Linked DNA regions of Pelodiscus sinensis. The protein of the gene in region 3 interacts with the protein of the main gene of each other region in a pairwise test. Links are inferred from orthologs where the notes say so. Each region holds a gene or a part of one and is shown on either strand. Other genes may lie near its edges.

Evidence for each region.
Region 1: the proteins of SDCBP (region 3) and EIF5A2 interact in binary tests that used the Homo sapiens proteins (3 or more experiments, as listed by UniProt). The two-hybrid records come from large-scale screens. The link is inferred for Pelodiscus sinensis from reciprocal best matches to the Homo sapiens genes SDCBP and EIF5A2.
Region 2: the proteins of SDCBP (region 3) and ZCCHC17 interact in binary tests that used the Homo sapiens proteins (3 or more experiments, as listed by UniProt). The two-hybrid records come from large-scale screens. The link is inferred for Pelodiscus sinensis from reciprocal best matches to the Homo sapiens genes SDCBP and ZCCHC17.
Region 4: the proteins of SDCBP (region 3) and PYCR3 interact in binary tests that used the Homo sapiens proteins (3 or more experiments, as listed by UniProt). The two-hybrid records come from large-scale screens. The link is inferred for Pelodiscus sinensis from reciprocal best matches to the Homo sapiens genes SDCBP and PYCR3.

The regions. Positions count from the first base shown.
Region 1 is NC_134720.1:39,206,341-39,213,200, forward strand, and holds the start of EIF5A2 (eukaryotic translation initiation factor 5A-2), read right to left. Parts: upstream 3,008-6,860; 5' UTR 2,875-3,007; coding exon 2,849-2,874; intron 2,735-2,848; exon of another isoform or gene 2,577-2,734; intron 2,134-2,576; coding exon 1,944-2,133; intron 1-1,943. UniProt on the Homo sapiens protein: Translation factor that promotes translation elongation and termination, particularly upon ribosome stalling at specific amino acid sequence contexts.
Region 2 is NC_134735.1:17,394,961-17,402,261, reverse strand, and holds the start of ZCCHC17 (zinc finger CCHC domain-containing protein 17), read right to left. Parts: upstream 3,004-7,301; 5' UTR 2,864-3,003; intron 2,852-2,863; exon of another isoform or gene 2,753-2,851; intron 2,289-2,752; exon of another isoform or gene 2,013-2,288; intron 467-2,012; 5' UTR 353-466; coding exon 287-352; intron 1-286. Other genes in the region: SNRNP40 (U5 small nuclear ribonucleoprotein 40 kDa protein), read left to right, coding at 3,060-3,194, 3,651-3,780, 5,388-5,481, 6,361-6,526.
Region 3 is NC_134712.1:63,002,391-63,010,016, forward strand, and holds the start of SDCBP (syntenin-1), read right to left. Parts: upstream 3,011-7,626; 5' UTR 2,751-3,010; intron 1-2,750. UniProt on the Homo sapiens protein: Multifunctional adapter protein involved in diverse array of functions including trafficking of transmembrane proteins, neuro and immunomodulation, exosome biogenesis, and tumorigenesis.
Region 4 is NC_134712.1:2,161,548-2,168,693, forward strand, and holds the start of PYCR3 (pyrroline-5-carboxylate reductase 3), read left to right. Parts: upstream 1-4,140; 5' UTR 4,141-4,192; coding exon 4,193-4,277; intron 4,278-6,165; coding exon 6,166-6,230; intron 6,231-7,146. Other genes in the region: protein brambleberry-like, read right to left, coding at 1-13, 1,110-1,358.

The DNA.
Region 1 (6,860 bases), on a different chromosome or scaffold from region 3:
GGTCTTAATTTCTTCAATGCCCACCAGCAGCTAAGATGCCCTGAAGAAATTATCAAAAAAGTGACAAAAAATAAAGGCAGGTATGTCCACACTACAGTGGCACAGCTGTCACATATACCACATGCTTCCTGAAACAGAAGAGATTTCCCATTAATACAAGTAATACAACACAGCCCTGGAAGACATAGCAAGGTCAACCCACTCACCACATGTAGACCAGGCCTGTAATCAGACCCTCAGCTTTTTAAAGCAGATGTGTAATCTTTTGGATCAGGGGCTCCTGACCCACAGAAAAAAAAAAATCAGTCAGGGGCTGCACACATGACTATGTACGAGATACAAATTGTATCTAGTACACGATTAGTTAGTCGTTAAGGGGCTACTGCAGCTCTCCAGTTTAAAGGTAGTAGGAACCGGGTCCTGTGCTGCAGTTCTGCCTTTTAAATGTATTAAGAGCCAGGTGGCTCTTATTACATTCAAAAGGCAGAGCCACAGAGCCTGTCCTCCCCACCCCGAACACAGACTGTGCTGGGGAGCTCCCTTGCTGCCTCTATTAGGCAGCAAAAAAAAAAAAAAAAAGGGGGGGGGGGGGGAGAGAAGAGAAACTCAAGTAGTCAACTCAACTACCCAATAAGCTTAGGCTTATTGGGTAATCAACTACTCTATATCCCTATCACACACCAGAGCCTAGTGGGCCCTACCTAGTACATTTATGTGCTCCAGCCTCATGGTCTCCCCAATTCAGGGAGATAGGGGGAGCCCTCAGCCTCAGGGGATAAAGTCAGACAAGCCCTGGGGCCCTCAGTTCCCCACCCCATCTTAAAGCAGTAAGTGTGCACCTCCATAAATTCATGGATTTCCTTATTGCTCCCATTCCTGACTATAGGTCTTTTTTGCATCTGTAGTCAATTGCTGATAGCTTCAATTGCTTAGTAGACAGACATACATAGGCTTGTACAACTAAGGTATGAAACTATACTGAAGACTTAAAATACTCAACTAGCATGTTGTAATTGCCAGTTAGCTTTCAAACACAGAACATCAAGTTGATGTGGATGCTCCTGACCACTATTCTAGGTGACATACTTGGCTGTTAGCTAGAAATAGAGGAATCTAATGAAGCCATACTAAGGACTAGTGCAAAATATGTCTTAGGCAAGCCATTTACATAATCCCCTCCCCCCCCACCTCTGAGCCCTTCTTCCACACAGCACCTTAATTCTAGACCCTTGTCTAAACTGCCACTTGGAAAGACCCAAAACCTATTTAATATATCAGGGACACCTTCAGTTGTCTCCCATAGGCTGTCAACAAGTACTAGTTGACATTTTCCAAATATTTATTTAGGAAAAATCTGGTCCAGGAGTGGGGACTGAATGTGCCCTTCTTCCCCCTACCACTCCTGTGGGGCTAAAGCACAGAATCTCCAAGCCTGGCCCCCCTCATGTTAGAGAAGGTGTGGGGTTTTTTGGGGGGAGGGGGGGCACACTTCTCATGTGTGCTCCTCACTGATTTTTCTGTGGGTCAGTGGTCCTCAATGCAAAACAGATTCCCTCCAGGTCTAGTCTGTAATCCAGCTATGTTCTCAGAGCGCTTCCACAAAGTTCATAAAGCGTGGTCAGCCCCATGTAAGTTTCAAGATTCCCCAGGCAATATGCACGTGTGCTTTTGCATATTACTCCAACTGTTCACCCTTTTGCTGTAAAACTGAAATTAAGTAGTTCAGAAAATTCACCCTGAAGCACCGGCACACTGGTATTATGTACATAATAATGCCATAACTGGAAGAACCAGAAATGTATCCAAGGACTTTGACACGTGATTTGTGTGCTCGCGCTCTCCGTGTAGCTGTAGATATAAAAGAGGTTATTTGTATAAAAATAAGTGTACAAAGGAGTTTTTCCAAGCCCAACAGGAAAGGGCTGAGAGTGAGTCTTGTTTACCTTGGCATGACCATGCTTTCCAGTCTTAGAGGTCGACATCTCCACAATTTTGCAAGGACGTCCCTTGAGCACGACGAAGCCATTCTTGCGCAGCGCAGAGCACTGCATGGGGTAGGTGGAAGAAGCACCCGCATCTCCAGTGGTGAAGTCGATGTCGTCGGCCATAGCGGGCTGGGTCTGGGAGGGGTTACTAGAGAACAAGGAGAAGAGGCAGCTTTTCCCAGCAGGCTGGGCACACGTGGGGGGGGGGGGGGGGGGGGGAGGGAGGAGTCCCAGCAGCTGCCCAGCCATGAAGCAGCCGCGGAACACGGGCCAGAGGGACTTTGCCCCACGCGGAGCGGCCCAGGCAGCCGCACTGCCCCGAGGCCCACAAGGGGGAACCGGGGCAAAGGCTGCCGGAGCCGCACGTGCTTCTGGGCAGCCCCACAGCAGCCCGCATGGGAGGCCCCGAGGACACCCGGCCCTGCCCACGTGCCAGCGGGGCCGCCGCTGCAGAGTCCCCGCCCGGCTGCGCGAAGAGCCTCCCTCCCCCCCCCCCGCGGGAGCCCGGCTCAGGGGGCGGCTCGACCCCGCGCGGCCGCCAGCTACCGCCGCGGCTGGGAGCGGCGCGCGCGCGCCACGTCCGGCTCTTACCCGCTGCTGGGAGAAAGGAGCGTCGCTGGCAGTGCACACGCGCCCGGCCTCTGGCACTGCGGCAGCACCAGCCGGGGGGGAGGAGAGAGAGAGAGAGAGCAGAGGCTCACGCGCACTTCTACCCCGCACCCCCCACTTCCGCTTTGTACCCGCGGGCGCAGCTCTCATTGGCGGCCGGGACGCCAGGTTAGGCGGGGCTCTGTGGGCCCCCGCCCCTTCCATGTGACTTGGCGCGCGGAAACTTCCAGGTCACCCGCGCGCCCCGCCCCTACCGAGCCAATTCGCCGCCGCTCAGCATTGGTTGGCGTCTGAACACGTGGTGCGGAACGGTCGCTTTATTGCCCTCGATCTGCGCCTCCACTACATGCCGTGAGGCAACAGCACTTCCGCTTAGGGTCTCGCTGCCACCGGAAATAGATGTTCCCCACAGGCACGTGGGCTGAGCTACGCCTCGCCTACTATGGAAAGCGACTTGGGTCACAATTACACCCCCGCGCCCGCCACAGCGTGTCACGTGACGCTGGCGGCCATTACTCCTGAGGCAACCTGAAAGGGGGCTGGTGTAGGGGTTGCCTGCTGCAGGTCGGCCCCCGAGCCCACCCGTGGACGCAGTGTCCCCAGGCGAGGCCCCTGAACCCCTAGTGGGGCCCTTCCTTCAGCTCTTCTGCTCGCGGTGCATCCTGCTCCTTCCCGCTCCTCTGGCTGCAAGGGACAGGCCTCCTGCGCTGCCACAGCCGCCCCCCACCCCCATCCCCTGGCACTGGGCGTCTCGAACTGGTTTCAGTTCTGTGCAGGATTTGCAGCTTGGTTCAGTGGCTCTTACCCCCCCACACACACACACACTTGGGGTGTAGAAAAATTCAGAAAATACCAGACACGTGCAATGCCTGGTATTTCCTAAATTTCCGTCTGGGCACCGGACTGAAGCCTGGCAGGGGCAGGGGCAGGGGCAGGGGCAGGGGAGCGACTGGGAGGTGGGGTGCGATTGGTGCTGGGAGCCCTGTGGTTGCGTGCAAAAGCCAGGCGGGGAGGGGTGGGGACAGTGGCTGGCACTCCCAGCCCGCCCTCCCCCCGCCCGCCCGCCCGGCTTCTGCACACAACCAGAGGCTCCCTGTGCCGATTTTGGCCCCACCTCCTAGCTGGGAGCCTCTGGTTGTGTGCAGAAGCTGGGCAGAGAGAGGGGCTCCCGGCCACTCCCCTGCTCCCACCTGGCCTCTGCCAGCAACTAGAGGGAGTGCCTGCTGGAGGTGCGGCCTGTTGGACTCTGGCTGTGGCCAGTGGCTGCACCCGCCCCCTCCCCCCTGCCAGCCCTGCCTCCTGCATCCCTCCCGGCCGGTCCCCCACCCCCATCCACGATCAAGTGTGTCCGGTATTTTTGGGGAGCCTACCAGGTAACCCTTCCCACACACACACTATAAAAACTGTTCCAGCACCACTGCTTCCAGGGATTGCATGTACTACAGGGCTGTGGCATGTAGCGCTGCCAACGTATTTAAAAAATAAGGAACTATTTTCTTAGCAGCCCTGTGTCACTTGTCTCTGCAATATTATCATTGTTAGTGTTAATGTTAATAACAAACAGTACTTACCTGCATTCACCAGGGCTACATCTAGACTGGCATGATTTTCCGCAAATGCTTTTAACGGAAAAGTTTTCTGTTAAAAGCATTTGCGGAAAAGAGCGTCTAGATTGACTCAGACGCTTTTCTGCAAAAAAGCCCCGATCGCCGTTTTCGCAATCGGGGCTTTTATGCGCAAAACAAATCTTAGTCCTTTGCGCAAAAGGACTTTTGCCCGAACGGGAGCAACATAGTATTTCCGCAAGAAGCACTGATTTCAGACAGTAGGAAGTCAGTGTTCTTGCAGAAATTAAAGCGGCCAGTGTAGACACAGCCCAGGGGTATTTCTTGCTCCATTTGGCAGCACTCAGCAACTCATGATCTTGTACAGAGATGAAAAAATAAGGGAATTTACTTGTAATAAAGGACTGTTGGCACCCATAGGCTACGTCTAGACTGGTATGATTTTCCGGAAATGCTTTTAGCGGAAAAGTTTTCTGTTAAAAGCATTTTCAGAAAAGAGCATCTAGATTGGCAGGATGCTTTTCCGCAAAAGCACTTTTTGCGGAAAAGCGTCCGTGGCCAATCTAGATGCGCTTTTCCGCAAAAAAAGCCCCGATCGCCATTTTCGCGATCAGGGCTTTTTTGCGGAAAACAAATCTCTGCTGTCTACACTGGCCCTTTTGCGCAAAAGTTTTTCAGAAAAGACTTTTGCCGGAATGGGAGCTGCATAGTATTTCCGCAAAAACACTGACAATCTTACATGAGATCGTCAGTGCTTTTGCGGAAATTCAAGCGGCCAGTGTAGACAGCTGGCAAGTTTTTCCGCAAAAGCACCTGCTTTTGCGGAAAAACTTGCCAGTCTAGACACAGCCTCACTGTTGCTGCATTTCACAGTTGAGTAGCCAAATCTACAGAGCTCAGAAGCAGCTATTATTGTTCACCTATCATAGAAAGAAGATGGGCCAGAGCTGACTGGGCTGACTTTACCATGCTGCTTTTCAGATAACTGGGCCAAAGCACATGCTTGTCCAGCTCCCACTAACGCTATGTGGATCTTTGTCTTTTTCTAGTGGTAAGACTGTAATACAGAGAGTTACGAATTTGTTACCACCATTCTAATGCAGTCAATTTCAAACTTTTTTTCTCATGACCCAGTTCAAGAAAATTGTTGATGCCCACAACCTATCATAATTCTATCTTTTGACTAGAGTTCAGGTTCTAAGGTGGAGCTGGAGATGGGAGGTTTGGAGTGTATAAGGAGGCTCCAGGTGGGGAAGGAATGAGGGCAGGGAACTGGGGCATGGGCTTACCTCCGGTGACTCCTGGTCAGCAGCACAGTAGGGGTGCTAAGGCAGGCTCCATCCCTGTCCTGGCACTATGGACACAGAAGCAGCCAGCAACCAGTCTGTCTCGTAGGTGGAGGTGCGCAAGTGACTGTGGCTGTGGGTGCTGCTCTCACCTGCTGGCACCGCTCCCCCAGCTCCCATTAGGCAGGACAGGCAGGAAGCCTGCCTTAGCACCCCTGCTGGTGACCTGGTTATCCTACAGCAAGGTGACCCAGCACCTGATATTCCACAACCCAATACAGGAGGAGGAAATTTTGTATGCTCCCTCATCCCCAGACCAATCGGAGAGCATGCAAAGTCTTTTGCCCCTTGCCCTGTCAGGGGCACATGATGCCTAGAGGAACCACCAGCCATTTTGAGAAGCTGGCAAATCCCACCAACCGCTTTGAACAGCGAATGACTTTGTGCATTCCCCCATTCCTGGGTCTCAATTGGCCTGGAGACGGGGGCATGGGAGGGCAGGCTGTGGGCCAGATCAAATGCCTTGGTGGGCAGGATTTGGCCTGCGGGCCGTATCTTCCCCATCCCTGACACAGACATTTCTTACTACAACAAAAGGGTTCTTTTTCTTCAGTTTATGTAATCTATCTCTCAGAGTGGAAGAGAAATTGAAAGAAGAATTATTTTTTCATTGAGGTAAGGACATATGTTAGCTTAACTGCAGTGTTTAGTGGTGTGAATTTTTCACAGCTACTGAACAACGGAGCTACATGACTATAAATTTTTAAGTGTAGACCAGATCTTAGCTATCTTGGTCTAGCCTAAGTGCTTGTCTAAATGGTTAATTTACCAGCATAACTGTTCTGATAGAATTATACTGCTCTGGTTATGCTTCTACATTTTCCCATGTAGATAAGCCCTTACTTGACAGGGTATGACCACAGCAGTTGAGTTCCACATCATGGATGTCATGCCCCTTGTCAACACTGTTGCTGTATCTAATTATGAGAGATATAAAGATTTCTTGGTGTGTCCCATATTCCATGTGCAATTCCATCCTTGTGCTATCAGGTATCGATCAACTAGAACTGACAGGTGCTGATTTTTATAGAGACAATGTTTCTCTGGTACGCAACTGCCTGACCTGCTACCAGTAGGAGATGTCCATGTTTCAAGGGTGGCTTTTTGCCCAGATAAAATAGTGGCAATTTGCTATTACAAGCAGAAGGAGTAAAAGCCAGCATCTTGTGGATGTGGAGACTTGGACTACGTTTACACTACGGGTTCTTCCGGGATACCAGGGAACGTCCAGAGAATGCATCTGCTCTTCCGCTTTTATTTGTGGAAGAGCAGACACGCTCTTTCGGAAGTCCTGTCTTACTCATTTCATGAGGAATAAGGGCTCTTCTGAAGAAGGAGGTTTTTCCAACATTTGG
Region 2 (7,301 bases), on a different chromosome or scaffold from region 3:
CTCTAACCTACATATTCTTTAAACGCTCTACCGAGAATGCCAACAGGAGGTCAGTGTGAGACAGCTGTGACAGTAGTGGGTTTTGTGATGTGGACATTTGCTCTCTATGAACCAGAGTACACAACACAAGCTCATTTTACATTGGTCACTTAGTTTTACTGCCTGTATCTAGGGTTGATTCTGAACTGAAGATTTAAAAATGAAAGGCTCTCTATTATCTCTCAGTATCTTGCACCATTCATGTCTCCCACGCTTCTTTTGTGACCCTAAGCAACACCACACATACCTCTCCTTGGAAGACATCATAGAGTTCAGGTAAAGTCTCCATTGCCTCAGGTCTCACAGACTTCATTTGGGAAGTTTTCTAAGAGTATGCATTCCACAATTCTTTCCCAACCTTTATAGCTTACTTTGTTTCCATGTATTAGATGTCCCATTTATTGCTGTGGAGCAACCCTATTCGTAGCTGAAATAAAGAAAGACACCATTTATTGAAAGAAATATCTTCATTAGTGATAAAAGAAATAAACTCTGGGAAAACTTTTCAGGGATGGTTTTTATCTGCACTGCTTTCACTCTCACTAATTTCTAAATATCTGATACCATAGGGTAAGTCTACACAGATGTGTTATTTCAGAATAAGTGATGTTATTTTGAAATAACCAAATACGCTTCTACACAGCAAGACATTATTTCGAAATAATAGCGAGCTGGAAGACTTCTCACTCTGACTCCTGTAACCCTCATTTCACAAGGGCTGTGTCTACACTGGCACCCTTTTCCGTAAAGGGGATGCTAATGAGACTCTTTGGAATTGCAAATGCCGCAGGGGATTTAAATATCCCCCATGGCATTTGCATGAACATGGTTGCCGCTTTTTTCCGGCTCGGGGTTTTGCCGGAGAAAAGCGCCAGTCTAGACGGGATCTTGCGGAAAATAAACCCTTTTCCGCAAGATCCTGTCTAGACTGGCGCTTTTCTCCAGCAAAACCCCGAGCCGGAAAAAAGCGGCAGCCATGTTCATGCAAATGCCGTGGGGGATATTTAAATCCCCTGTGGCATTTGCAACTCCGAAGTGTCTCATTAGCATCCCTTTTACGGAAAAGGGTGCCAGTGTAGACACAGCCAAGGAGTAAAGGAAGTCAAAAGAAGAGAGTTCTTCCTTCGTCTACCTGCTGTGTAGACAGCGCCAAGAGACGAATTAAGCTATTTTGACTAGGGATGTAAGCGACTGACTACCTGATAAGCAAAAGCTTATCGGATAGTCAACACATTAGTCAACTAGTCACTCCTCCTCCCTCTCCCTCTCCCCTCGCTGCCGCTATCACAAAGAGGCAACAAAGGGTTGAAGAGGAAGGGCGCTGGGGGGAGCCAGCTTAAAAGTCAGTTCCCCCCAGCTCCAGCTCCATGGGATGGGGCGGGGCACAGCAGCAGTAGTGCTTTCTTTTTTAAATGTTCAAGAGTTCCAGTAGGGGCTCTTGTGGATTTCAGAGACTGAAATGCTGCATAGAGCCTGGGGTGGACTCCGAGTCCCCCACTGACCTTAGGCTCCATGAGATGCTTCCTCTTTACAATGCCCAAGAGCCCCCACTGGTGCTCTTGTACATTTCAAAGGTGGAATGTGCACTAGTCCTTATCAATTAAATCCCATCAACTATTCAATCAGTTAATCAATATTTAACATCCCTAATTTCAACTTCAGCTACACAATTGACATAGCTGAAGCTGCGTGGCTTAATTCGACTTTTGTGTAGATGTGTCCATAGTGTCTTGTGCTCACACTATACGTTATGGCAGTGTAATCAAGTGGATAGAGAACAAGTTGAGGAAACAGACAATCCGAGTTCTTCAATGATACAGTTCCCAATAACTTTCAGTACAATTATGAGCAAGTTACTAAACTTTATGCCTCAGTTTCTCCCTGGATAAAAGGGTGCTATGATATATTTCAAAGAGCTTTCTGCAGTAGGGTATGTCAGAAGAGTACCTCAAAAACACTAAGTATTCAAGTACCTAGGCAGATACAGCAAAATATGAACACGTGACTATAAACTGGCTCTGGATAATAACTAGCCAATTTTGCCCTATTCTCAGAATTCAGCCTCACAGACACTTCATTCCTATTTCACAGGGGTAGCCGATGGCCTCAGAGGGGTAGCTGCGTTAGCCTGTAACTTTAAACACAGTCAGTAACCCTAGTCTGTATTTGGGAAAATGAAGAGTCCTGTGGCCCCTTGTAGACTCCACGCAGCTGACCAAGTGGTTTTTACTCAGGAGAGGTTACGCCAAAATAAATCGGTGACTCTAACAGGAGTGTGGAACTTTGGGGGGGGGGTGGCGGCCACGGACCCACAGGAAAGAGTCAGTCGGGAGCCGCACAGAGATGAGCGGCCCCAAACCCAACAACCCCTCACTGCTGGGCTCCCCACATCCCCCTCGCGCACCAGAGCCGGGGGGGGGGGGGGCAGGTTGTGTACCCGTGGGAGGGGCCGGGGGGGGCCGCTCTAGGCTCCCCGCCCCGCTCTGCGAGGGGCCACCGGGCTCCCGGCCGGCTCTCCCGCCGCTGCCCCGGGCGGTTGGAACCCGCTCGCGCCGGGACACAGGCCTGACGCCAGCGGGCGCGCAAAGGGCCCGGCCTGCGCCTGGACGCGACGCTCAGCGGCTCCCGCGGGCAGAAGCAGCGAGCCCGGACCGCGAGCGGGGCCTGCCGAGCGCGGGAAGGGGAAGGGGCTGAGGCCGCGCCGCCCCCTCACCCGCTCAAGGGCGCCGCGGCCGCCGTCATCCCACCTGCACCCCGGTCCCTTCGAGCTGAGGAAGCTTGCGCCCGCCAATCACGGCACGGCATACTCGCGCGGGGTACTTACGGAGCCAATGGGCGCGCCCGATGCTAGAACTCTCCGGCGAATCCCCTAGCCAGCATGGCCAGCGCTGCCCAATCAGCACGCTTGGCGTTCGCAGCCAATCAGAGCGCGGCATCGCGGCCCAATGGGGGCCGGGCGCGGGCGGAGCGAGGCCTAGCGCTGCAGGACGCCCGAGGCCGAGCGGCTGCCGCGGGCCGGGATGATCGAGCCGCAGAAGCGCAAGGGGCCGGTCCCGGAGCTGGCGCTGGTGGCGGCCGCGGCCAAGCGGCCCCGGCATGAGCTGCTGGGGCCCGGCCCGGGCGGGGCGCCGCCCCCGGGGGCCCTGCTGCAGGCGGTGAGCGCGGGGGGCCCGGGATGGGCCGGGCCGCGTCCCCCGCGGGCGGTGACCCCGAGGCTCCCCGGAGGGGCGGGGGCCGGGCCGGGGGGGGCCGCTCAACTCCTGTCGCAACGTGGCTCCGCCTCTTTGGGTCGTTCGTAGCCTCCGCGCTGAACTGACACCGGCCTTGGTGTGACTCGAGACCAGGCCTCTTGCTGCGCGGGGCCTCCGCCTCCCCATCGGAGGTGGGGCCCGTGGCGGGCGGGGTGTGAGACGCGCTTTGCCATTATTATTATTTTGTGTGTGTCAGAAAAGTGGAAATATGACCCGAGTTAAAACTAGTGAAGGAGTTATGGGAGGGGGGGTGTTTTCTGGCCTGCTCCCCCACACCGTCCACCTTCTGGTTCAGAGGTTTCATTAGCTCATTATTTATTATTCTGTTTCATTTCTGTCTGCATTCCCTCTGTGTTTTAGGGCCCTCCACGCTGTTCTTCCCTCCAGGCACCTATAATGCTGCTCTCGGGGCATGAAGGAGAAGTTTACTGTTGCAAGTTTCACCCTAATGGAGCAACTTTAGCATCTGCAGGATTTGACAGACTGATCTGTGAGTTTGTAATGATCAGTAGTTTGTGCTATGAGGGTGGTTTGTTTAAAAAATAATAATAATAATAATACACTGCTGGTGTAAACTGCTTTCCATTCATTCAAGTGCAATGGAGTGACTGAGCTGCTGAGAGCAATGGGGTGAAATGTTGACAGCAGGCCAGTAATGAGCTGTGCGCTTTTGAGCATATTTCAAAAGCGTTGGTAACCTCTTTAATGCCCTAAATCAGCAGTTCCCAACTGCTAGTCCGTGGACCCCTGCTTACCCTGCCAGGCCATGCCCCCAGCTCTGCTTTCTCACAACACTGTACTGTGGGATACATACTCACAGTGCTTTGCTCACACTGTCAATGACAGTGCCCTCAGCGTGAACATGCTCTGTCAGCAGAGGGAGCAAGTGTGAACACCCTCTAGGCAATTTTTGTTTTTATCAATTTTTGGGTGTTGATATACATTTTGTTAACAAAACTTGGTAATGTAGACATACCCTAACTCTTGTAAGAAGCCACATAGTATTGTTACAGTTAGAGCTCTGCAAATCCATGGATATCTGCTTTATATCCCCTGGTATCCACATCCACAGATGTGGATGCAGATATCTGTGACTCATTTTTATGAACGCAGATATACATTTTGGATTCCTGTTTGTATGAATATGGATTTAACTGCAACACTGTAGTTATGGGTTGCACAGCCATACAGGACTATAAAGGGATGAGAAATCCTTCTCCATAAGGACAGCTTGATGTGGGACTCCTTTCATATCCCATCTAATCTGTCAGCTCTCTACATTTAAGAAGGATACAAAATGAAGGGTATAGAAGAGTTAAAACAGATGTTTCTATTTATGCTTATTCATAATACAGGAGCAAAGATGACATTCAGGTTTGTTGAAAGGAAATACTTTTCTACACAATGGATCATTAACCTCTGGGACTCACTGCAACAACATGCTGTTCAACCTAAGAATGTACTAGGGCAGGGATTGTCAACCTTTCAGATGTGACATGCCAAGATTTAATTTATTCACTTCTATTTATGGATCTGTGTGCCACTGATACTTTTTGAAGTCAATAATAGTCCTATTTACATTTTAGCGGCTTCATTAATAAATAAATTAAGATGCAGATTTTTCTGTTTAGTGTGATCCTTGGTCTTGCTTTCCCTTGCTGAGTTCTCCTATTTCAGGCCCTATAGCAATCAGTTAGCCAGTAACTCTCACATTTAGGATTAAAATCCTACTGCTCATATGACTCGGGTTGTGGAACACATTATTAACCAACCGCCTCTGTCTGTTGATGGGGCGCTCAGAGAAGCGAAGTTCCCTGCACTTTGTCAGGGATGGTGCAGCAGCTGGCCTGGCAAGTGGCAGCTGAGGAACAAGTTAATAAGGGTGGCGGCCATGGGGAGACATGGGCCTCCCTACCCTTCCCCCAGATGAGGAGAACTTTCACATCTTCTGTTCCACATATTTAAAAACCTATTTAAAATGAGAGTTTGGCGATTATGCTGAATATTGTAAGTGCTTCATTTTAGTGAGCCCAGGAAGTGTAGCTGTGATGATGTGGGCGTAGAACATAGTTTTATGTGTATTTGGTTTCTTTCCAGTGCTATGGAATGTGTATGGGGACTGTGATAATTATGCCACTCTGAAGGGACACAGTGGAGCAGTTATGGAGTTGCACTATAATACTGATGGCAGGTAAATATCAGATGAAACTGACTTGAGCTGTCATTAGCCTACCTTGATGATGTTTCCAAATGAACTCTGTGAAATGTTTGGGGAGAGAGTTGGTATGAAAAGCTGCTAGATGAAGCCAGTAACCTTTGGATAAAACTTGTAAAAGGTACCTGCAACTGGCAAGTGGGGAACTAGCTGCTGGTGAATGTAAGTTGCTTTACAGCTCCTCTTCATTGCTTCAGTGCTCACCTGGTGGCTCTGAAGAGAAAAAGCAATGGTGCTCTTTGAATGGCTCCCCCTCCCAGAAATAGCTCCACACGCTACGTCTGTTGTAGAGTGCAGGAGCAAAGAGTAGAACCTAAGTGGCAAGTTCCAAGGCTCATGGATGGGAAGCAGATCTAAAGCCAGGCGTCCCGTCCCATCCCGCCCCTAGCAAGTGAATCTGTGGGAAAGTGGATGGGAGAGACAACGAAGGAACAATTCAGGATAAGAAAAGGAAAACTAGGAAGGCGATGTTGGCAGCTTTCCAGATTATCCAATGCTATCTGAGGTTTTTACAAAAGAGATGGCTCCCCCTCCCCCATCATCCTGAGCAGGGTCAAGAAGATGAAATCCTACAGGCAGCTAGCAGACACCCCCTTCAGTAACTGGATTGAGGGGTACATTGAAAGTGGGATTTTTCATCATTATACTACCCCTTCCTTGGTCCTGCCACAAAACCCCACGCCATCTTTTGGCAACAGCCTCTGAATATTGACCTTAATTTTCTAGCTAGCAAGTATCCCCTTAATTTTCCAAGCCGGAGTCTGAGTGGTGTTTGTAGAGTAACAAAAGGGATTGGGGCAGATATTTTATCACCCTTCAGGATTCCATAGCTGTGTCACCTTTTCCCTCCGCCAGCATGCTCTTCTCAGCATCCACGGACAAAACGGTGGCGGTGTGGGACAGTGAGACTGGAGAGAGAGTGAAAAGGTTGAAGGGGCACACGTCATTTGTTAATTCCTGTTATCCTGCGAGGCGGGGACCCCAGCTTGTCTGTACCGGCAGCGATGATGGGACAGTAAAGGTCAGTGTTTTTGTGTGGAGTGACTCTTGCACTCATGGAGACTATACAAACTCTAGATGGCCCACCTAAATAAAGGTCATTTATTGTCATTGACCATTTAAAAATAACTAATTTAATAAACGTGAGAACGGCCATACTGGGTCAGACCAAAGATCCATCTAGTCCAGTATCCTGCCTGCCAACAGTGGCCAATGCCAGATGCCCCAAAGGGAGGGATCACAACAGGAAATCCCCATGTGATCCTCCCCTGTCACCCATTTCCAGAGAAACAGGCTAGGGACATCATTCCTACCCATCCTGGCTAATAGCCATTGATGGACCATGAATCTATTTTGCTCTTTTTTGAACCCTGTAAAAGTTCTAGCCTTCACTGCATCCTCTGGCAAGGAGTTCCACAGGTTGAGTAAAACTTGAGTAAAACTTTGTTCATTTGATACCCTCTTCGTCATCCAGATTTGCCCCTGAATCAAATCCCAGCCTGAGTCGCTTATTCATTAACTTCCTCAGTTATCCTTGAAATATTTTGGCTAAACAGGACTAGATACTTAAAAATAAAATTAGAATCCTGGAAAAGAACATGAGACTAAGCCTGGAAAATGGCTGGCTCCTTTTGTGAATCAAGGCTGGGATTTTTAATGAGATTTTTCTTGGATCGGAGCTGAGTGCTTCCAGTTCTGCCCTTATTTATGCTCCTGTAAATTCACTGGCTGAAAAAAATCAGCATTTAAATGATAAATGCTGTTCTCTTTCTCCCTGTCCCAAACCCCGTTACCAA
Region 3 (7,626 bases):
GGGCTCCACATGGCACTGCCGCTTTGAAACGCCACATGCAGCCTGAGGCTAGCTGTGGAGTCTCCAGCTGGCCCAAGACTGCACACGGCGTTTCAAAGAGGCAGACCCTGGGCTCCACACAGTGCTGCTGCTTCAAAGTGCCCGCTCTTCCTCTCCCCCACCCCCTTGCTGCCTCTTTCTGCAAGGCAGGGGGGAAGCGACTAGTGTGTGACTATCCGATAAGCATTTGCGACTAGTCGTTCACATCCCTACCTTGGGGGTAGGAGACTTAGGTATAGGGCAGTCTCAGATGGGGGGGGGTACCCCCAGGCAGCCACTTTCACCTGCCTGATGATTATGCCTCTTTTCTGTATGATTTTATGCATCCCCATATGCATCGAGTGGGGGAGGAGTGTGTATAGCTGTTTAAGATTAACCGATAATTCTGTAAAATCGTTACTCATACAGGGAATCCTTTAGACTTCTGCTTGCACCAAGTAAGCTGAGATTCTCTATTGGCTTTCTTGTAATTTTTTTGGGCAATGTTATCTCATCACAAATAGGAAGGGAAGTAGTCTCTGCAATCACAAAGGGATGGGAGAATGGCCTGCGAGGCATGCTACTAGAATGAGCATGAAAGGATTTGAGAGCCTCTTATTTATAATGTAATCAGACTTTTGACAAACATTTGAACGATAAGTTAAAACATAATTTAACTGCAACCACAACATGAGTAATCATTGAATGGCACTGTCCAAGCTTCTAAAGAAAATTCTACAAAGAAATGCCATCCTTAGTAATGTTGGTTATTCTAACGGACTGAAACCTGCATTTATTTAAAGAAAAGTCATGTATGCAGCTGCAATTTGTCATAAAATGGTCAGAGTTATACAAATATTAAAAGCAACCAAGATGAAAAAACTTGAGAAAACTCTACACTGCAATTAGCTATTCACTACACTGTGTAACAGCAGACAACTTTTACCTCAGACTTCATAGCTTGCAGCTAGTTTGTTGATTAATAAGTTAAAATGAAAGTATGGACAGAAATCACTACCCTATTTATAAGTGCTACTTAAAATCAGAGAAAAACTGAGCAAGAAAAGGATTCTGACTTCCCACATAATCGCTTGACTTGATTTCTGTACAGAGATGACTCAGTCCATTTTTGTTTATGGAATCTTGCCTGCTGGTAAGTGTTGAAAAAACTAAAAAAGGAGGATTGGGAAAGTGACTCAAAGACAGGAAAGAAAATGGCAACTGAGCTAGACTACTTTAAAAAAGCTTTTCATTAAAACAAGCCCAAAACCTGATCTGCAGAGTACTATGAGGATATATTTTATTGATTCACCTCTAATATCTGTCCACTGCCAACAATAGACCAAGGACAACCAGCTACTTATCACCTAGTTCACTGATTCCACCAAAGCCATCATAAGGTGTTTACTATTCCCTAGAGATCAAATGCTTATGCTTATCAGATAGGAGTGGACTAGTCAATTCCCCTCACCTTTGCTGTCTCTATCAGAGGGAGCAAAGGGGGGAGAGAGAGGGAAACCAGGCCTTAGGTTCCCCACCCTCTGTTCTACAGTGTTCAACTTATCCATACATTAGAACTCTAAATCTCAAAGGCTATGTCTACACTCATGGCTTCTTGTGCGAATAATATGCAAATGAGACTAAGCATGGAATATCGCCGAGCCTCATTTGCATACCTAATGAGCCACCATTTTTTTCAGAAGAGGCTCTTGCGCAAGAAGGACCGTCTACACTGCCCCTTCTTGTGCAAGAAAAACCCTCTTGCGCAATGCCGTTCTTCCTGAAAAGTAATAGGTGTAATGGCATTGCGCAAGAGGGTTTTTCTTGCACAAGAAGGGGCAGCCTAGACGCTCCTTCTTCCGCAAGAGCCTCTTCTGAAAAAATGGTGGCTCATTAGATATGCAAATGAGGCTCGGCGATATTCCACGATTCGCCTCATTTGCATATTACTCACCCAAGAAGCCATGTGTAGACATAGCCAAATAGTTTAACTCAACAACTGCTACAGTAAGAAGCCAAGATACAGTAGTGTTTCAGTCTCAGGACTTGTCTGAACAGTGAACATCCTAGCGATAAAGATCTGTGTTACTAATTGGAGAAGTAAAAGTGATTTAGTTTGCAAAAACTAAGAGCATTAACTAAGCACAAAAGACTGAACTGGACACTGAATAGTTTGTACAGTGCCACTGCTTGCTACGACTCTCCCCCCCTTAGATAAGCATACCAGACCTATGCCAGTGACGCTGAGCGTTTCAAGGGGAGATAAAAGGTTACCATAGTAGAGACAAAAGAAAAAAAAAATCACCAGAGAGCCCATCGGCCCAGACCCCCAAGCCAGAGCTGTCTTATTTCGGGCGGGGGGGGGCAACGTGGGAGATTAGCAGGATTTCCCGTCGCGGTGTCTCCAGGGTGCCCAGGACGGGGGCTGGCCGCCTTGCAAGGGGCAGGATCAGGAGTTTCAGTAACGAGCAAGGACACGCCCCGTTCCCTCGCCCGTCCCGGTGGGTGCGCGCAGCGACCCTCTGGCCTTTACTCCTGGCCCCCCTCCCCGTGCCTGGCTGATGCACACACCGCGCAGCCGCAGGTACCGTTCGGGCCGGGCCGGGCGCGCTCGTACCCGGAGGGGCCCAGACAGGGCAGCTCCGGGCGGGGCGGCTGCGGTGAGCGAGCCGGGGGGTGATACCGCCCCGAGTGAAACTGGGGGGGGGAGCGCTACCCGCCCTGACACTCACCGGCCGGGCCGAGGCGGCGGCAGCTGCTAGTCTCACACCGCTATCGGCGGCTCCTGGGGACGCGGCTCTGCGAAGGGAGCGACGACGGAGGCTGCGGTACACAACGGCTCAGCGCGGGCTGTGCGCATGCGCCGGTCCCGTGACACTATGCAGGAGCGGGGGCAAGGAGCCTCTCGGCAGCTAGGAGAGGCTCCTGTTCCCAGTCCGGCCCCGCCCTCCCTGAGCGTCTGCTGCGGGGGGAAGCGAGCTGAGAGAAGGGACCTGCCCTGCCCGCAGGGTTGCGTTGCTTCCCCCCCCACGCCGTGACTGGCCTCCTGAGGGGCTGGCTCGGCTGCGCGAGACCCCACTTCCCTCACAGCGCGGGGGCGGGGGGAGGCTGTGCCCGGGCCCCCGGTTGCCAGGTGCGTTAGTAGCCTTTGGCTTGACGTGGTTTCTGTCACTGACTTACAGGACGTGCGGTTTTCGGTGCTGGCGCTCGGCCCCCACCCAGCCAGGCGCGTACATCGGTACCTCCCCCCCCCCCCCCGCGGGGTTAGCGAACTGGGGTTCAGACAGCGCAGCCAGAGCACTGCCCCGAGTCGCGCCCTTCTACTCTCGTAGCCCTGAGGTACGGGTTTGGCCCGGGGCTGACGAGGACGCGTGTGACAGTTGTGACTGCTGCGAGGGAGGCTTTCTCCATAGCCGGAATTATGGGATAATCTCAAGTGAGGAGCCAAAAGCGAAAACTACAGCTTGTCCCATGTCAGGGTCTGAATGCTCTGTAGCACCCACCCTAGCCCTATTTCTATTCCTGTTCACTCTCGATGGAATAGATGGGCGGAGTCTTCAGTCTTCCATCATGTATTTGCCTCCTTTATTCCTGCTTTTATCTTCTCCGTTCAGTGCCTGGGTGGCCATGAGTCAGTGTTTCTGTGTCCATATCGGTTTTTTAAGTATACGCTGTTAAATGGTTTACATCACTTACTGTGTTCCGGTTGTGTTGTGGTTTCACTTCCTTAGAGGAGGGACTTCATTTGCTGTTTTGGCTGCTGTGTTGTAGACAGTTTCTGTTGCGCATCTGGCCTTCACCTCCGCATCATCATTGGATGAAATCATTTGTGGATTTAATTTTTTAGTCTCAGAAACACTCTTGTCACTTTGAATGTAGATTGCAAGGTCTTTGAGAGTGGGACCTTTTTTGTTCAGTATCTAATTCAGAGTTATAATAATAAAAGCTAATGATTCTCTTACTACTTTTCTACCTTTGAGTGGTTGTGACTATTTTCTTCCACTATTTGATCTGAGGAAGTGGGTCTGGCCCACGAAAGCTTATAATCTAATAAACCAGCTTGTTAGTTTTTAAAGTGCTACATAGTCCTGTATTTTGTTTCAGCTACACCAGACTAACACGACTACAGTTAGGACATGGAATGAAAGGTCCAGAACCAGTTAAGTAAACCAGGCTTAGCACAAGAAGGAGGCAAGCTGCAACTGATTAGGCTTCCACATTGTAATGAGCTCAGTGCTGGCCATCCCTTCCACCTACACCGATTCAGTACAGTATTATTACACACTTATATAAAATACATTATATTGTAGGTTGAAATTTGTATGATTTATGTGTCATTTTGAATACACTGTATTATGCTTCACAAAACAAAGGTAAGACACATTTTTTAGCCTACGCCCAATTAGAGATGTTAAATTAGATTACTTAATTAATCAAATTGTTGAGGGGATTTCCATCAACTATTCGATTAGTTGATAAGGGCACCTCCGCCTTTGAACTATAGCAAGAGCCTTACTGATGGATAGCACTATTCAGTATTTTCATTATTGACTTGGACAAGGGGTGGGCAAATTCTGGCCCATAGGCTGGATCCGGTCCTCAGGGTTAGTCCCTAGCAGGCCCCCATCTCCAAGTTTACCTGAGCCTCCACAGGTATCGGAGGATTGCAGCTCTTGTTGGCTGCGAATTGCCGTTCATGGCCAATGCAAGCAGCGGGAAGTGGTGTCCTGGTCTGCAATGCTTCCTGCTGCTCACATTGGCAATGAACAGTGATTTGCAGCCAACTTGAACTGCGATCCTCTGATACCTGTGGCCAGCGCGAGCCATTTTGGCGTCCCATGCACTTGGCGCTGCCCCTGGGATGCATGGCCCCACCTTCGGACGCATGGCACATGTGCGGGCCCATCCCCGGGACATGCGGCCCAGCCTCCGGGCACATGACGTATGCGCGGGCCCACCCCCGGGGCACGTGGGCAGACACACAGCGCATGCGCTGCCCAGTCGGCCTAACCACCGCCAATGGCACACAGCCCGGGGCCGCCAATCAAATCAATATCTCAGATGCCTGTATACACATGCAAGGAGTATCGGAAATAAGCAGGAAGATCTTGAAGTGCTAATAAACAGACATAGTTGGTATCACAGAGACTTGGTGGGATAATACACACAATTGGAATACTGGTATAGAAGGGTACAGCTTGCTCAGGAAGGATAGGCACGGGAAAAAAAGGAGGTGTTGCCTTATATATTAAAAATGTACACAGTTGGACTGAGGTGGAGATGGTCATAGAAGACAGGCATGGTGGCTGTGTCTAGACTGGCAAGTTTTTCCGCAAAAGCCGGTGCTTTTGCGGAAAAACTTGCCAACTGTCTACACTGGCCGCTTGAATTTCTGCAAGAACACTGACTTCCTACTGTCTGAATTCAGTGCTTCTTGCAAAAATACTATGCTGCTCCCATTCGGGCAAAAGTCCAGCTCAGATTTGTTTTGCACAAAAAAGCCCCGATCACGAAAATGGCGATTGGGGCTTTTTTGCGCAAAAGCATGTCTAGATTGGCACAGACGCTTTTTGGCAAAAAGTGCTTTTGCGGAAAAGCGTCCGTGCCAATCTAGACGCTCTTTTGCGCAAATGCTTTTAACGGAAAACTTTTCCATTAAAAACATTTGTGGAAAATCATGACAGTCTAGACATAGCCGGTGAGTCTCTGGGTTAGGTTATAAGGAGTAAAAAGGGTTAGTGTCATACTAAGGATCTACTAGAGATCACCTACCCGGGCAGAGGAGGTGGTTACGGCCTTTCTTAAACAACTAACAAAATCATCCAAAGCACAGGATTTGGTGGTGATGGGGGTCCTCAACTATCCAGACATATGTTGCAAAACTAACACAGCACAGATTATCCAATAAATTCTTGGTAAGAAGGTTGAAAAAGCTACTGGGGGAAAGCTGTTCTAGATTTGATTTTATCAAATAGGGAGGAACTGGTTGAAAATTTTAAAGTTGAAGGCAGCTTGGGTGAAAGTGACAATAAAATCATAGAATTAATGATTCCAAGGAATGGTAGAAGGGAGAACAGCAAAAAAGAGGCAATGGATTTCAGGAAGGCAGATTTTAGTAAACTCAGAGAGCTGGTAGGTAAGGTCCTATGGGAAACAAGACTAAGAGGAAAAACAACTGAAGAGAGTTGGCAGTTTTTCAAAGAGACATTATTAACGGCCCAAAAGCAAACTATTTCACTGCGCGGGAAAGATAGAAAGTATGGTAAGAGACCACTTTGGCTTAACCAGGTGATCTTACATGTTCTAAAAATCAAAAAGGAGTCATATAAAAAGTGGAAACTAGGACAAATGACAAAGGATGAATATAAGCAAACGATGCAAGTATGAAGGGGCAAGATTAGAAAGGCAAAGGCACAAAATGTGCTCAATCTAGCTAGAGACATAAAGGGTAACAAGTAGACATTCTACAAAAATATTAGAAGCAAGAGGAAGACCAATGACTGGGTAGGTCCATTGCTCAGTGAAGAGGGAGAAACAATAACAAGAAACTTGGAAATGGCAGAGATGCTTAATGCCTTTTTTGTTTTGGTTTTTGTCAAGAAGATGGATGGTGATTGGATGCCTCACACAGTGAGTGCTAGTGGAAGTAGGGTAGGTTTAGAAATTAAAATAAAAAAAGAACAAGTTAAAAGTACATAGAAAAATTAGATGTCTTCAAGTCACCAGGGCCTGCTGAAATGCTTCTTAGAATTCTCAAGGAGCTGGTAGAGGAGTTATCTGAGCCTTTAGCTATCATCTTTGAAAAATCATGGAAGACAGGAGAGTTTCCAGAAGACTGAAAAAGGGCAAATATAGTGCCCATCTATAAAAAGGGAAATAAGAACAACCCAGGGAACTACAGACCTGTCAGCTTAACTTCTGTACCAGGGAAGACAATGAAGCAAGTAATTAAGGAATTCATCTTCAAACAACTGGAAGACAATCAGGTGATAGGTAACTGTAAAGAACAAATCATGTTAAACCAATCTGATAGCTTTCTTTGATAGGATAACAAGTCTTGTGGATAAGGGAGAAGCGGTGGGCATAGTATACCTAGACTTTAGTAAAGCATTTGACACGGTCTCGCATGATCTTCTGATCAATAAACTAAGGAAATACAAACTAGATGGGGCTACAATAAGGTGGGTGCATAACTGGCTGGATAACCATTCTCAGAGAGTAGTTATTAATGGTTCACAATCATATGAAAGGGCATAACAAGTAAGGCTCCACGGGGGTCTGTTTTGGGACCGGTTCTGTTCAATATCTTCATCAATGATTTAGATGATAGCATAGCGAGTACAGTACAATTATTAAGTTTGCAGATGATACCAAGCTGGGAGGGGCTGCAAGTGCTTTGGAGGATACGGTCATCATTCAAAATGATCTGGGCAAACTAGAGAAATGGTCTGAGGTAAATAGGATGAAGTTTAATAAGGACAAATACTCCACTTAGGAAAGAACAATCAGTTTCACACATACAGAATGGGAAGTGATTGCCTACTAAGGATTACTGCAGAAAGGGATGTAGCAGTCACGGTGCTAAATATGACCACAAGCTAAATATGA
Region 4 (7,146 bases), about 61 Mb from region 3:
TCCGGGCTATAACCTGCCAGCAGAGGAGACGGAGGAGCATTAGGGCTACAGCTGGTGCTTCCATCTCCCGCCCCCCAAGTGCAAAAGACAATGGCTCCTTCCCAGGTCCCATGGATCCCTGCCCCAGACTTGCTCACGACAGGAGAACCATTAACGCTGGGCAGCGACTCATGGGGAGCTCAGTTCCTGGGGCCACAGACGAGGGGGGTTCACTTCCCGCCTGCTTGCTGCCCTGCCTGGGATTAGCTGGGCAGCACCCAGAAGCAGGCAGGGCAAGGGAGACTATCCCAGCCCTGGGCCCTCCCCCTCACAGCCCCCTGCCCTGTCAAAGGGGAGTCAAGCCAGCTGGGGCCCTTCTGCCTCGGCTCCCCTGGAGCCATCATCCCAATGCCTGTCCCCTGCGCTCTTCCCCCTCCCCGAGAGCAGCTCTTTTGCCTCCCACCGACCGGGCTGGCTGCCCCTACCCACTTCGAGCTGCAGTGCAAAAATGGGCAGAGCCGAGATGCCGGGGCAAGGCAGCCAAGCCGCCTGCACCATGTGTCCAGCTGGTTCCATCGACAGGGGCTCTGGTGCTGCTCCTAATATGCACAAGAAACGGGGCTCGTATCCCCACAGGCCTCCCGGCAGGGATGTGCATGTACCGCGCGCAGAGGCTGCGCGGACCAGCTCCGGGGCTGGGGAGCGCCCCAGGGGTAGGAGGAAGCCTGGGAGGTTTGTTGGCAAAGCGGACAGACATGGTGACCTTCAAGGCCCACCCCCAGGACCCTCTTTGCAGGAAAGGAGCCAGCTAACGAGGGGCGGGGCAGCTACGGAAGACTCCAGCTGACACCAATGCAATTGGTGGCCACAGGGACCCAGCAGGGCCTGCAGCCAGTCACCGGTCTGACCAGGCCGCATGGTTGCCCCCTGTCCCCGCTGTGCCGTACGACCGGATCATGCCAACGTCTCTGCAGAGGGAGCGGCCCCATGGCAGGTCAGCACGTGCGCCAGCACTTGCCGGAGCGGGGCCTTGGATGGCACACACTTTGGGGCACGGCCCCCTCCCTCCTCCTGGTCTGTCCAGCCCAACCCACGGAGAGCCCTCCCGCGGCAAAGAGCCACAGCGACACCTGATGGTGACAGGAGTCCAGCGGCGACAGATCCAGGCGCCTGGCTTCAGCCAGGAATCGCTCGTCCCCGGTCGTCATCTCAAAAGGAGCAGGGGGGAGTCTCCTCGGGTCCGAAGCAGGTGTCGGGGGAACAGGGTCCTTTTCTGGAGCGGCGCCCTGCCTCAGCCAGCCAAAAAATCCAGAGGAGGGAATGACGAGGAGGGAGAGGAGGGTAGGAAGGAGGAGAACCCGGTGAGCCAGGGGCAGCATCTTGGGGCATGGAGAGGGATCCTGCAGGGAGAGAAGAGACAGAGTCCCAACGGAGAAGAGCCCAGGGAGTTCCAGCTACTGGGCAGCAGCGTTACAGCCAACCCCCTGCGCCCCGCACCGCTCCCTGACCTCCGATAGCTCAGCCTGGCTCTGTTAATATAGCAGGTCCCCCTGCCTAGGCGGGTCGGCACAGAACAGCTCTAATGAGCACCGTATTGAGCTGAGAGCGTGGCCCAACCAGGAGCAGGCTAACCCCTTCCAACTGGAAGAAGTGAGTGAATAGCACCAGCCTGACGTGATAACAGCTGTGCCGAGATCACGGCCTGCCACACCGATCCCACCGTCTCGCTGTTGCCTGGTACTCCCTGTGTGCGCCCACCTGTGACCTCATCGCATGCTTGGATCAGAAGCTCATTGGGAAAGGGATGGTCTTTTTCTTCTGTGTTTGGGCAGCGCCTAACAACGCCACACCTGCTATGTCTACACTGGCGGCTTCTCGTGCAAGATCACGTCCACACTGCCATGTACGAGCTGTGCTTTTGTGCAAGAGCGCCCATGGCAGTGCGGACGCTCTCTTGCACAAGAAAGTTCTGATGGCCATTTTAGCCATAGGGCTTCCTTGCGCAAGAAATCCCTGCCCAGCATCCACACTGCCTTCTTGTGCAAGAGCCCCTGCACAAGGGCTTACACCTGTTAAAAAAAGAGCGTAGCTCTTGTGCAAGACGCCCTCTCTTACCACGCCGTACTGTAAATGTCCTTGCACAAGAGCGGGCGGGCAGTGTGGACGCTCTGCGGATTCTTGCGCAAGAACGGCTGTACTTGTGCAAGAAGCCACAAGCGGAGACACAGCCCTCGGGTGCTACAATAATACAAACACCGCTGATGTTTGTGTGAAGGGCTCATGAGTCCTCCTGGGTTTCCTCCGGCATCTCTGAGAGGAAGGAATGATCCGATTGCTAGAACACACCCAGAGGGCACAGGCCTCATGGAAACTTACAAAGTTCCACTTGGATGCATGCTGGACTGATCAGTCTCCATGGGCCACACATGAGCATGCAGCTGCCTTGTGTCTCCGGTGTACAGAACCAGAAGCTGCTGTGGCCCTCCACAAGGTAACATTAAGGCACATTCTCTAGATTTTTCTGCAGCTGGTTTTAAGCAGGGAGCCAGGCTGCAAGGGTAGGAGCCTGGAGTGGTTAGGGCCAGTGCTGTTGCATACATACCTGTCACTGCAGCTTGCATTTCACCCCTTGGACCGTAACAAAACACTTAAAGAGGAAAAGCCCCCCAGGAGCAATTGAGTTAGGCTTCCGGGTCAGGTCCTGTTCCCCAACCAAGACAGGAGAAAAGGTCTCCTCCTTCATCCACTGTCGGGCTCAATTAATTCCCTTAGGCTGCATCTAGACTGGCAAGTTTTTCCGCAGAAGCAGTTGCTTTTGCGGAAAAACTTGCCAGCTGTCTACACTGGCCACTTGAATTTCCGCAAGAACACTGACGATCTCATGTAAGATTGTCAGTGTTCTTGCGGAAATGCTATGCTGCTCCCGTTCGGGAAAAAGCCCTCTTGCGCAAATGGACCAGTGTAGACAACGCAGTATTGTTTTGCGCAAAAAAGCCCTGATGGCGAAAATGGCGATTGGGGCTTTCTTGCGCAAAACCGTGTCTAGATTGGCACGGACACTTTTCCGCAAAAACTGTCAGATCCTTTCTATCCGAGGGCAGCACACTTCCGGGGGTAGCGCCATGCATTCAAACGTTGCTCCTGACTTTGGCCATCATGAAGCCAGACAAGAGAGTCTTATCAGAGAAGCCTTTCCCCTCTCTGAGTAGGGAACAGCCACAGAAAGGGATGTGAGGAATGGATCAGACCAGCCAACACGCAAGTTCAACCACATGAAATGAATGTGTCTGTGGAAAGCATTTTCCAAACCCCAATCTCTGTTGGTTTTGCTGCCTTTCAGGCCAGAAGGTGCCACGTCAGCACGTTGTACATTGTAGCTCAAAGGCCCTTCCATCTGACGCTTTGCGGTCAGATTTGTTCATACAACCCATGCACCATGGGGAAGACCATTCATGTTTCCCAGAAAGGGAAACTGAGGCCACAGACTGTGACGGACCTCAGAACAAAACCCAGGTGTTCCTGGCTTGAGCCACCAGATATTGGGGGGTGGGGGTGTCTCTGGGGCCTTTGAACAGCCGTGCCACGGCCCCTCACAAGAAAAACAAATCTGGTTGTGGAACAGAGCTGATCTTTGGATGCAGAAGCAGACACACCAGGTCCTACCTGGGGGGGTGCAGGGTCTGGGGGCGCCCTAGGGGCCTGAATTCACATGCCCACCGCAGAAGGCCCAAGCCCTGACCCTGACCCTGCTCCGCCCCCAGCAACCGGCCCAGGAGATGGGGGGGGGATAGAGGGGGCAGCTTGAGTGACAGCTCGCCTGGGGCCCATACACAGCCCAGCTGCGGACACAGCTGGCAGCAGGGCGGGGGGAGCTGTGTGTGGGCGCTGCTGATCCCAGATGACTAGGGGGGGGGGGAGCAGCCAGATGCAGCGCTGCCAGCCTGGAGCATCCCTGCGCTGCGAAGGCAAGAGGAGAACGGAGACCACGCCCCCACCAGGACCCCACGTGGGGCGGTCACTCACCTGACTCCGCCCCTGGGGAGAAGCGCCTCGTTCCCCCGGGCGCTTATGAATCCGGCGCCCGATGACGTCGCACGCGGCGGCAGCCAATCCGGAGGTGAAGGCGGGGTGAGGCCGAGCGGAGCCCGCGACGCTGGGGGCGGGTCCGGCGGTAGCCACGTGGTGGGCGGGTCACGTGGGAGAGCCGGCTGGGATGGAGGCGCGCGGGGAGCTGCGGATCGGGTTCGTGGGCGCCGGGCACATGGCCCAAGGGGTGGCGCAGGGCGCGGTGCGCGCAGGTAGGCGCGGGGTTTGGGAGAGCCCCGCCCCCCTCCTCTCCCCTCCCCCCCCACCCCACCTGCTGGGGGTCCCTGGGTAACCAGCCCCCCCTTCCCGAGGGGAGCCCCAGCAGAGGGTGCCTGGGTAACTAGACCCCCCCCATCCCAGCTGGGAGCCCTCGCCGGGGGCCCTGGGTAACTAGACCCCCCCCCATCCCAGCTGGGAGCCCTCGCCGGGGGCCCTGGGTAACTAGACCCCCCCCCCCCATCCCAGCTGGGAGCCCTCGCCGGGGGCCCTGGGTAACTAGACCCCCCCCCCCCATCCCAGCTGGGAGCCCTCGCCGGGGGCCCTGGGTAACTAGACCCCCCCCCCCCATCCCAGCTGGGAGCCCTCGCCGGGGGCCTGGGTAACTAGACCCCCCCCCCATCCCAGCTGGGAGCCCTCGCCGGGGGCCCTGGGTAACTAGACCCCCCCGTCCCAGCTGGGAGCCCTCGCCGGGGGCCCTGGGTAACTAGACCCCCCCCCCCCATCCCAGCTGGGAGCCCTCGCCGGGGGCCCTGGGTAACTAGACCCCCCCCCCCCATCCCAGCTGGGAGCCCTCGCCGGGGGCCCTGGGTAACTAGACCCCCCCCATCCCAGCTGGGAGCCCTCGCCGGGGCCCTGGGTAACTAGACCCCCCCCCCCATCCCAGCTGGGAGCCCTCGCCCGGGGGCCCTGGGTAACTAGACCCCCCCCCCCCATCCCAGCTGGGAGCCCTCGCCGGGGGCCCTGGGTAACTAGACCCCCCCCCCCATCCCAGCTGGGAGCCCTCGCCGGGGGCCCTGGGTAACTAGACCCCCCCCATCCCAGCTGGGAGCCCTCGCCGGGGGCCCTGGGTAACTAGACCCCCCCCCATCCCAGCTGGGAGCCCTCGCCGGGGGCCCTGGGTAACTAGACCCCCCCCCCCCCATCCCAGCTGGGAGCCCTCGCCGGGGGCCCTGGGTAACTAGACCCCCCCATCCCAGCTGGGAGCCCTCGCCGGGGGCCCTGGGTAACTAGACCCCCTCCCCCCATCCCAGCTGGGAGCCCTCGCCGGGGGCCCTCACACCAGAACCACCCCCCACCCTGCTGGATAAGCGAGTTCCCATGCTACAGGCCCCCCCTTCCCCTCCATGGGGGTCCCTCTGCAAGCAGCACCTGCCCCAACACAAGGGCCCCCCCCCCAACTCGTGCCGTGCTGCTGTGTAACCCTGTGTCTCACCCCGCAGAAGACATCCCAGTTCTGGGCAATGGATCCCTGTAGAACCAGCCCCCTGCATCCCACCCCACGGGACAGCTGCAGCTGGGTGCTTGGTGAACGAGCCCCTAGAAATAGCTGCTGTGCCCAGCAGTGGAGGCGCCTGCGGTCCCGAGCCCTGTCCCAGTTATGGCTCCTAGGGGCTGAGGGATCTCTGTAAGGCCCTTGCCATGCTCCCATCCCAGAAGCGGCTGCGGGTCCTTGCTGTGCGATAAGTCGTTGGCTCTCTGCTCAGGCCCAGTTAATCAATGACTCTGGGATCCTAGGGCGGGGAGGCCACAGAGAGCTGTCTGGCTGTTCCCACGATACCTGCCGCACAGGTGTGCGTTTTACCAAGGCCATTCCAGGCCTGCTGCCACCACTGCCCTCCTGTGGCAAAAGGAAGTTCCCTGCAATCGCCTGGCATCGCTGCCCGCAGCGCGCATAGCCCGTGTGCCCTGGTTAGCTGCCTGCCTCTCCGCCCTTCCGCGGCCGTTAGGAATCTCACGCTGGCTGGTGGGCAGCTAACGCTGGGCACGAACAGGCTTGGAATTGGGCCTTGGTACGAGTCTCTAGTCTGAGCATGTTTGAGGCATCGCAGGATTCTCTCCATGCCCCTTAAGCAGCGGCTTACCTCTGCTCTGTGTTTTCAGGAAAAGTCAAAGCTGCCAACGTCCTGGCCAGCGCGCCGTCCGACAGGAACTTGGGGGCCTTCAAGGTGAGCGAGGGCAGGGCATTGCAGGCTGCCCGGGAAAGGTCAGGCCTCTTCCTGAGGACTGGAAGAGCTAATAGCATCCTGGTGTCCAGAAACGGGAGGCAAAGGCGATAACGATGCTCGAGTCCACTTGCTTGTGATCCCAGCAGATGTGCAAGCTATTGAGTTCCTCTCCGGAACACCTGGGTGCCCTGGGAAATGGGGCTGGTGAGCTATGGTGGCTTTTCCCTTTCTCTCACTGCTCATCCTCAGTCCAGGTCCACACTGGCGTAACACATGTAGCTGGAGTCTGCTTACCTTCAGCCGAGCTTAGTGCCAGTCCCCGTCGTCTTCCCTCGCGACTGCGAGTATCAGGGCTGACTAGGGATGTGAACAGCTCGCTGACTAGTCACTTCTCCCTCCCTTTCTGAAAGAGGCAGCAAGGTGGGGGAAGAGAAAAGTGCTTCAAAGTGGCAGCGCCACGTGGAGCCTGGAGCTGCTGCTTTGAAACGCCACATGCAGAGTCAGCAGGGGAGGGGGGGGCTCCACTTGAAATGCCATGGGGCCAGTGGGGACTGCTTGACTGGGCTCGTGATCCCTGTAGCGCTTTCGCCTTTGAAATGTAGCAACTGCCCTGGGGTTGTTGCTACACTTCAAAGGCGGAAGCGCCCTTATCGAGTAGTCCAGGGGTTCTCAAACTTTGTAATACTGCAACCCCCTAAAATTCTACATGAATTTGTGTGACCCCCACCCCATGAATAAAGGGGGATTTGGGGGCAGCGGGGCTGGCCGGGGGAGATCGGGCAGGGAAACCGGCCAGCGGGAAGCAGGGGTGGCGGGGGGAGGAAGGGAGAGGTTGGGTACATTGGGGCTGGCCGGGGAAGATCAGGAGGAGAAGTGGGGGAGAACCAGTCGGCTGGGAGGGGGCAGGGAGAGCATG